Linked DNA regions of Drosophila melanogaster. The gene in region 1 interacts genetically with each later gene. Each region holds a gene or a part of one and is shown in the gene's direction. Other genes may lie near its edges.

Region 1 (5,193 bases):
GTATTGTAAAATATCTTTTTATAAATTAATTTCAAGGAAAACTCGCAAAAGTACGAATATAAAATGGTAAGAAAGTCGGATAAACTAGTTCGCTTAAGGAAACTTAAATTTAAGGAGGTTTGTTAGCTCACATTCTTCTGAAGCCCAGGGATTCTTCCACTTTCTTCCGCTAAAGACATCATGCTCCCAGGTGTTCAAAAGAAGAGGGTACTAAATAAAAAACCCGATGTGGCAGCCGAGACTCTGGAAGAGGCAGTCGCAGTGGCGTGTGGAGTATGTAGGCCCGACGGCCAATCAATTCTCAGAAATGAAAACGCCGTCTTCGGTGGGTATTACCGTTGCTGTTGTTCTGCTTCTGCCGCTGGCTCTTCTGATTCTTCTGGCTCTTCACATTTCTCCGCCTTGTTGTTGGCACAATTGTGCGATGCAACACACAGCAACAGCCACATAAACAGAAAAGAATGCGAAGAAATGCAAAATGCAAACACCACGAACCACAACACAACCACTTTCCAAATGCATTCATGATGTTTACCGTTTAAATGCGCCCAGTCTACAAAGAGAGATAGACCCAGCACGTGGGAAAGAGACGGAGAGAGACAGGGAGAACGAGAGAGCGAGTGTGGAGCGAGGAGCAGCCTCTCAAACACTAACAACAAATATGGAGAAAAGCAGCTGCCAAGTAGAAGACCAAGAGGAAGAAGAAGAACGAGGAAAAGAAGAGCCAGCATGGAAACCGTTGCAGATTCTTGGCGTGCAAATGTATGTGTAAGCTTGCCAATTCCGATGTGTGCTAAAGAGAGATAGAGCTTAAGATCGCAAGAGGAAACGGATTTTGTTTTTTTTTTGTTTATTGCTCAAATCAGCTCTGATCAACTTCTGTTCCCATCTTGATTAGTTGTCAACGACGGGCGAAAACTGTTTAACCGTTATGAGCCGGCAGATCGGTTCCCAGACCCAAAACGCTAACTTATGCACCTTGCCCACCTGAAAAGCTGGCTACAATATTTCGCCCTGCATGCGTGCAGTATTTTTCGGATAAGGTATGAAGTTGTTATTAATCGTTATACTTTTCATGAATGGTATCAAGGTGTTTACATTTTAATTATTACTTTTGAAGAGTTTTTTACGTTTCATAATTAAATTATTTTAAATAAATATAAGCTTCAAATTCATCGAGATTTTCTTATAATCCTATTACGTGTTTCATAATGCAATCATTTAATGTATGGGGAACACTTAGGGGTATCCATTAAGTCGAAAGCTTCTCTACGAAACGAGCGCGCCGAAAGTTCAAGTTCAAGTGCGCCAAATTCCCGACGTCAACGTCGGCTGCGCTGCCAGCTTTCCACTGCGTTGCCATTTTCCTGCAGGAGGAGTTTTCAAAATCTCGCGATCTTCTGCTGATTGAGTGGGCGTTCGAATGTATTTTTATTGAAGTGCTAGATGTAAGTTTCTTTTTATTGGTCGTCTAATTGGCAGGCTATTCTATGTCATTAGGCCGCTTGATTAGCGCCACCAACAACAACAACAACAATCGCAACAATAACAACAACAAGTTCTGGCTGAGCTGTGCTCATTTGCGCAGCTGCCAACGCAGGTGTAAAAAGCTCGTTGCGCAGTCGCAGTCGGCGCAGGCAGAGCTACTCTCTCAGTGTGCTTGTGTGTGTGTGTGTGTGTGTGTGCGTGTCTAGCTTTGCCAGCTTCTTGCGCTGCCTCTCTCCCCCTTTCTCTTTTGCTCACTCTTCTGTGCTTGTGCTGCTGCTTCTTCTTCTTCTTGTGCTGCTGCTGCTGTTGCCTCTTTCTTCGGCTGCTGCTGCGGCTGCTGTTCCCGACAGTTACATTACGAGGCCAAAGAAAGTATCGCCTGGCTGGCTCGCGTATTTCGCGTTCGTCGCTCGCCGAGTCCACACGTGCTGCTGCTGCTAACGGTCGTGATCGGTGATCGTGATCCGTGATCCGATGCCCAGTGTGCTGCCCAGTCGCGCCTACAACAAATGTTGATAAAATAAATAAATTTCAAATAAAATAGAAAATCAAATAAGTAACACCACCCGAAGTGCTTACAAGTGTTAGTGCAATTTTTTTTTATTGTTCTTGTTGTTGCCACTGCCTGTTACCGTTACTTGCTTAAGCTTAGCAAGATACCGAGAAAGAACGAGAAGAGAGTTGAGAAGAAACGTTCCCGCGAAGTGAGTGTTTCTTCCATCCAAAAGCAAATAATTTTTTTGTTTTTGTCATATTGCCAATTTGAATTTAGAGTTGTGTGAAATATCCACGATTTGCAACCAGAAACTTATTCTATTCTTTGGAGAAGCCAGTCCACGGCTTTCCAACATCTTAAGTCTATTTCTTTTGCTTCCTGTGAAGACTTTATCCAGGATCTGTCATTCCTGCATCTTATTCGTATTCCTCTCTCCGCAGAGCCAATTGCATTGCTTGAGTTCTGTGAAACATCCAATCTTAGTCTTTCCAGCATCTTCTGCCTCGTCTTCTTGGACCGACAGTGGAGCCGATTAACCAGCTAGACAGCAAATGCAGCCGAGCATTTCATGCTTTCTAATTTTCCCAATTAGCACAAATGCGGCTGGCTTGTTGCCTCCGCTTCTTGTGCGCCCCTGCGTCCACGTCTTTTGCCACTGATTCTTCTGCTGCACCTCTTGCCAGCAGAGTGGTGTCTTCTCAGCCTGGCCAGAATCGAAATCAAAATCAAAGGTATTGCATGCACTGCGCCTTGGCGGCTGGCACTTTCCAAAGTTTTTCCCGTGTGGAAAATATAACAATCATACATAATAATAGTTAGTCATAACAATCACACGTACCAAGAAGACGAGACGCGAGACGCTAGAGTTCCATAAAAAAGAGCAACGTCATCTGGCGGATCGTATTCCCACACGCCCAGCAGGTGCACTATTTATTGACCGAACTCCAAAGCCCCCAATTCTCTAACCCCCCCCCCCCCCACACACCCTGTCCCCGGCCACCCCGCACAACTCGCATACACCTGTCAAATGGCAACTAATCATCAATCAGTCGCCATGAGCACGGACTTCACTCGGACTGAAAAGTCTCTGATGACGATGATGATTCTTCTTTATTTGCGTTACGTGTTAGGCGGTCCGGTTCGGTTTGGTCCGTTCTGTTCCGATTTCACTTCTGTCCTCCTCAGCTTTGTACATTTTTATGCTACACCATTTAGCTATTTTTTTTGTTGTTGTTTGTGCCTCACTCACATTTTAATGCATTTGCCAAACGCAGAGCCGGGATTTCACAAAAGAACGGAAATATAAGGAGTCCAGAGCAGCTGTAACACACTCAGCTGTGTCTTGACCTTCGGAAAGATTACAACTTATCGGTGAGTTACACACATTATCTATATTTTATTGAAACTACTAAACTTAGTGGGTAAGATATAGAATAGAATATAGTTGAGTAAGCTTGCTCTGTAAGGATTCTTAAAAGAAATTGTGGTCACGTTGTATCTTATAAGGCAGTCAACTATTGGTGGTCTTTATCTGGCCATAAAGCTTTTAATATCAGATTCCCCAGCAAACTTAAATCAAAGGATGTAAAGTATGTGCTTATTAATTAAACAAGCCAGACGACGATGTTCGATACAAGCCAGACAGATAATGCGAGGATAAGAGTGCCAAAAGCACGTTTATTAGCATACTGTTTTGACATCTTTTACTGGCCACATTGCCACCATTAAACCGTGTGGCAATGCGACAGGCAGCAAATGAAATGTTATGACAACTTTCGTCACTTGGCACTTGGTTCATTAGTCTGCGAAGAGCAGATAAATAGAACAGATCTTTGCACAGATACGGGGCCAAGTAGATGGAGAAGTGAGTGGTAGCGGTGCAAATGCATTTGATCCGTTTTGGAGCGCATTAAATGCACCGTTAACTACTTCGAATTCTAATTAAGCTGATGCGACAATCCAAAGCACGCCGCTGTGGCACAATAAACTCAATTCCAGGAGGCCAGATTGGCAGCAGCAAACAAACACGCGACTTGGCCATAAATGCAAGTTGCCAGGTTGCAACCAGCAAGTTGCAAGTCTCGTTGTCGCAATTCGCATTCGCATTCGGAATCGCTATTGGGAATCAGTATATCGGACAACGGCAGCTATCTCCACGCTGGACTATCTCTTTGTTTGGCCTCAAATGATTGGCTTTAACCATTATTGGTGGGACCCTAAGCGGCTTTACCTTACCGCCTAACACTTTTCGATTCAAGGTCTGATTCTGTTCCTTGGTTTCTTCATTCATTGTTCCCGTGCCCCTCGACTCCACTCATCGATGACGCATAATTTATGAGCTGCTGCCGCGATCGACCCAGTAAATTCTATTCCCAGTGCTCTTTCACATCCATATACCATATCCACATTTGCAGATACATCGTAGAAGCAGCAGATACATGAATACAGTAGATACAGATACAGAGATACGAAGACGTGTACAATATGCAGATGCGGATACAAGATAAAACCTCGTCGACAAGTCTTTTCTTTCACAGAATGTTAATTTGTATTCAGCCAACATCAAAGATACTTCGGACACTGGAAAATATAGTGTGTGTGTGTGTGTGGTGGGGAGGGGGGTCTATTGAGCTTGAGATGCCGGCGTCTCGTCGTCTAACTGTTCTTTGCCTTTCTACAAACATTCCATAATGAAATGGAAACTTTTCGTGGCACATTTCGGCCTTTAGTGCATCTTTGGCCCAACGAAACGGTTAGAAAAGTGAGAGTGCTGATCGACCCAATGGGGCTCATCAAGCTAAGATATCTCAAACACTTAGGAATGTTGTTGAGTTGAGCTTACAAAAAGAACAATGCGGTCAAAAGTAAATATTCAACTAATACAATCCGTAGAGTTTTCTTACAAGTTTTCCCTCAACTTGGTCAAAACAGGGCGTATAGTCGTACAATGGCATGGAAATTTTTAAAAATTCGTAAAAAAATAGAATTCCGAATAACAGTTCGAATGAAAACAGGTTTTGGCCAAAGTGCACTACTTACGATAGGAATTTGCATCGTAACTTGCCTAAAAATGGTCATAAAGATAAACCAATGACTGTTTTTTACAGCTTATTACCAATACTAAGTATCCCTAACACTTTTTGAAGGATTTTGAAAAATTAAATTTTGGGTCGATTTTCGCATTTTCGGTAAGGGGTAACATCATTAAA
Region 2 (4,831 bases), 5.5 Mb from region 1:
TTGATATTTGGCATGCCTCGAGTACAATAGGCACTTCGTGTGGCAAATGATTTAGAAGGCAATGAGAACTATAAACACTAGGCGGATATTTTGCAACTTAATTGCATATTTTCTATAGAAATTAGCTAAACTTCGATCAAGGCAAATGGAAAACGATGATGAAATTGGCCTTAAGTAGCTGAAATAATTATAAAGACTATTATGTACTATAACAAATATGTTTTACAAAAAATATTTACATATTTAAAATATTTACAAACGTAATTTTAAATAATTCTTTTTATAGTTATAGGATAAAATATATTATAACATCTTCAACAATTCATGAACAGATAAATAATAAAAATATTTTCCAATAGATCAACGTGAAATTATAGTTAAGAGATATGATTAATTCGTTTCAAGTATTGTTTTATGAACCTATATTTGTACTATATATGTGGACTATAAAAGGGCCTATTTCACTGTCGCAATTGTTGGTTAATTTGGCCAATACAATGCCAATGGCCCGATGCCGTCAATTAGCCGAGAATAGAATTGTGAACTCGAATTGCAGAATGGCCAGCAACAGCGGTGATAATACCAACAACTATGGGCTTTAGTTAATATTACTATGCATGCCAGTGTTGTTGTTTCTGTTGTTGCTGACGCGTGCTCAGCCGAGTGAAGCGACGTCGACGTCGACGCCGTCAGAGGGTTGCCCCAGAGCAGAGTTGACATGGCAGTGAGCGTGAAAAATAAATAAATAATACAATCAGAGGGGCAGCTAAGCCCGCGACTCTTCAATATTGAGCAAACGTTGAACGTGCACAGAGAGAAAATGCTAGCCTGAGTCCGGGCAAAGTGGATGTAAATCACCTTTAATAGCTTCAGTCCGAACCTGCTAGAAAGTGATTTAAAATGAGTGAAAAGTAAGATAAAAATTAAAATGTTTAAATACGAAAATAAACTTGCAAATAAAAAGCAGTAAAGTCATACAATAAATCTAAGTTTTAGAAGTAGACCGTTAGTGAATAATTGAACAGTTTTACAAGTTGTCGATCCTGTCACACTTGAAATAAATAACTAAAGAAATAGGTATTAAATGACGCAGAAGTCACTCAAGTTCCTATTTAAAAAGGTAAAATGTTTTTTAAAAGTAAATTTGTTTTCATTTTGTTTTGAAAAATATGGTCATTTAGATTGTAAATATTGTATTTAATTTTTTTTTATTTGCAAAATTACAATTATTACTATTATTAAGAGTATTCATTATAGTTAAGTGTGTTAAAATTAATAAAAAAAAATTTAAGTAGATATTAAATGGGCATTTGCAATATTTGTAGCTGCGTGTAGCTGCGGCAGCAGTGGCATATCGGCAAACAAAGCGGCACCAACAACACCAGCAGCTCCAACAAAACAGCCCATAATCACAATTACAATAACAAAAACATTTACATCAACAATAACAATAACAATAACAGAGAAGAGCAGCAACAGAAAACTCTTAATCATGAGTGGCGTTTGGCTGGCAGCGCAGCTGGCGCAACGTTTTTGCATAGGAATCCGACTGCGGATTTTGAAGTTGTATCTTTTTTGGCCAGCGAACATTTGCGTCGCCGGCGTCACGGAGCGCGGACGCGACAAACGCGACATTGCCGAGCGGAAACCGGAAAACGAGCGGGTTTTCAGAAAATCAGAAACAGAACGCAATCAGTGACATAAAGTCAACTAGTTCGGGAATTTGGGGGAACGAATTTTCGGGGTGGGAACGAACGTACAAATACGTATATAGAACCAAAACCAGAAGAGGAACAAGCCACGAAACGAATCCAATGGCCAGTTGTGCGCCGGTGATCGTGTGGAACGGTGCTCAGTTTACGGCCAGCAGCAGGGAGCTGGAGCAGCTGCGTCGCGATTACGGTCTGGATGCTCGGATGTTGGAGGCGACACTGGTGCCGCGATATAAACGCCACAAGCCGCAGGCAGCGGCACGGAATGATCACGTTCGTGTGACCAAGGAGCAGCAATCGGATTGGATCCTCAAGCAGGATCGCAGCACCAACGTCAGCCAGGTGAACTTCCATCCCTGGGCGGGTGCTCACTTCGACTTGGTGCCCTGGCGTCGCACGCGATCCGCTTTGGATTTGACAGCAGTGGAGGATTACAATCACGGTCTGGTCGATCCCAAATCGCTGAAGGGTCTGGAGAAATTGGAGCTGAGACAGCAGCGCAGGAGGTTACAGCGCGCCAGGTCAACGCATCAGGGTCTCCGGCGATTGGTGCGCGTCCGCTTGATCTTCTCCATCGAGCTGCGGCACAAGCGGATGGAGGTGCTAAGGAAAAGTTCGCTGCCCGTGCGGGTTTTCGAGCAGCGCTTTGCCCTCTCGGAAAACGAGAGCGCCGCCTACGAGCGCATCCTGCTGGATGCCAATGCGGGAGTGGACCAACATGTGGGCTATTTTAGCAAGAGGCAAGTGGTTACATCCAACCGGGAATCCAACGAAGAGTTGGTGGTGGATTTCGCAAGCGAAACGGAGGCGGATGAGAAGGCAGATGAGCAGCCGGAAAAGGAGGAGGCCCAATATGCCACAATAGCTCCAGCGGAAAAAGGAGGCAGTGCAGCAGTGCCCGACAAGGAATCCGGCCAGGTGCCATGCGTCAAGTGCCGCGATATTGCCATCAAATTGAGGTAAAAGAAATCGCTAGAAAAAATAAACAAAAACGGCAAACCAGAACACAAATTAGCTGCAAAAATAGACGAGCGCCAAAATCAATTAGTTACAGTAATATGTCGATAAAGACTACAAACAAGTGCAAATTCTACAATAATATGGGAGTGCAAGAAATATCAATTTATTGACTATGGTTCTATATTTAGTGCTATATTTTTTTAAGTGCTACCCGAAATATTTGATATCAGTGCAACCTTTAAAAAATCTTTGGAAACTCGTATTATTATTTAATGAGTCTGTTGCCACGACAAAATCCGGGATGGGTATATAATTTATAGTTTTTACCCATCGGATTATGTGCGAACTTTTGGATCGAAAGCAGCTTGCAAATTTCCCACAAACTCTCCGGCTTTCCCATTTCATAAAAACCCACAGATCTTCATGAGTATAATTTCTTAAATGATTATTTTCTTCCGTTCTCTGTTCTTTCACTTTTTCCGAACTTTGACCATCCCCTTCCTCTCCCATACATATTTACTTAACTATTTATGTTTTTGTTTTGATGCTATGAACGAAAGGTTAATAGAAACAAACTCTAAAGTCTGTAGATTATTAAACTATTTGTATTGTTTAATACTCACTTAAAGCAGCTTGCCTTGAAAGGTTTATAATTTTGCTTTTTGAATTACAGTATTAACCGCATGGATGCGTTTGCCATGCTCATTAGTATCTTAGCCAAAAATATTTTGTATATAGGAGTATTGAGCAAATACATTTTTTAAATAGCTGCACGAATCAATAAGTCTAATGCGAACAGCCAATTGGAAATGTAAAATTTAGTTGTTTCACCTTTAAAATAAGTATTTACTTTCTGTTTACTTGAGTTATATCACGAGCCAGCGATCAAATGAAGCCAAAAAACAGAGGGCACCTCTTAACACCCTTAAAGATCATAATTTTCTTAACCCCCTTTGCCACTTCAGTTGACCAACTGGCCTGCAATGCTATTGCCAAATAGCTTATTTCACTTTTTTCTTTCTCAGCTAAATGTTTGTGAGTTTTGTCGGATTGTTAGCTTTGTTGGCTATGTTGGCTTTGTGGTTTTCGTGGGTTTCATGGGCTCGGTGGCACCTGCCCTGTTTTGTTGACACCTGCTACCGGCCCGCTTCCATTTTCCATTTGCCATTTGGTGTGTTCGGCGATGCCAGCGTTGATGCAATAAACTGGAAGAAAGTGTCGTCTTCGCGGCTTTCTGTTTCTTTTTGTTGCCACAAGAGGAAAGCAGCGACAAACGAGCAAAGACAAACGAGATCCATCCACAAATGCCCGGTATTTTCGCATTTTAATGCTGGCGGCGCTGCTTCTCAGCTTTCAATTAATGTGTCGCCGTGTGTATTGTTTCTCTTAGCATTATTATTATGATTGTTATTGTTTATTTGTGCCGCGGAAACGGCAATCAGGTGAGTCAGCAGCAGACTTGACCTGGTTTAGTGATTCGGAAAAGGGCACTCAGTGAATCCAAGTGCAGCCCAAGATGCGCACAAAGATGCCATCAAAATTAATAACCATCACTTCCCCCGGCCAATTAATTAATTAAAAGTTGTGCCTAAATGGCTGTCAAGCAAACAATTTAATAACAATGAGCAATTTTCGTGGGCTATATTGAACATGCTACTAGATTTGCAACAAGAGTAAAAAAAAAACAATTAGCTATTAGTAAAGAGAAAAATGAAATAAAAGTGAATTTTAAGGAAATTTGTAACTAATTTGCTTCGCAACAAAGGTAAACTTATATATTATTTAGTGTTCCTAGATATTAGTAAAAAGGAAGGCGTTAAATGAATTTCAATAATATATTAAATATTTAGTTTTAAAATTGTGTTGCACTTTCTTGGCAAGTTCGTGTCTTAAGTCCTTAGCTTAGTGTGTAAGTTTGTGTCTTAAGTCATTTGTTTGGGGTGCAGAAAAGTAGACTGCAATTGGAGATACAAAGCAAGCTGAAAAGTATGCAATATTTTTTCTCTGCTGACCCTTGTCAAAGGAGATCGGGAAATGAGATCCCTCGGTTGCCTTCTATTGAGCCTCCTTGGTGGGCGAGATCTGTTAAGAGCGCTGGCCAGCCGATTTCTGTCGCGCTCCAGCCTGTCATGGTATCTGCTCGAGTGCTGGTTTATCTC

The links.
Region 2: of m (region 1) and f, changing one enhances a phenotype caused by changing the other (phenotypic enhancement), as found in Drosophila melanogaster (one study listed by BioGRID).

What each region holds. Positions count from the first base shown.
Region 1 is NC_004354.4:11,752,391-11,757,583, forward strand, and holds the start of m (miniature), read left to right. Parts: upstream 1-1,882; 5' UTR 1,883-2,192; intron 2,193-3,258; 5' UTR 3,259-3,355; intron 3,356-5,193.
Region 2 is NC_004354.4:17,257,661-17,262,491, forward strand, and holds the start of f (forked), read left to right. Parts: upstream 1-1,713; 5' UTR 1,714-1,814; coding exon 1,815-2,671; intron 2,672-4,831.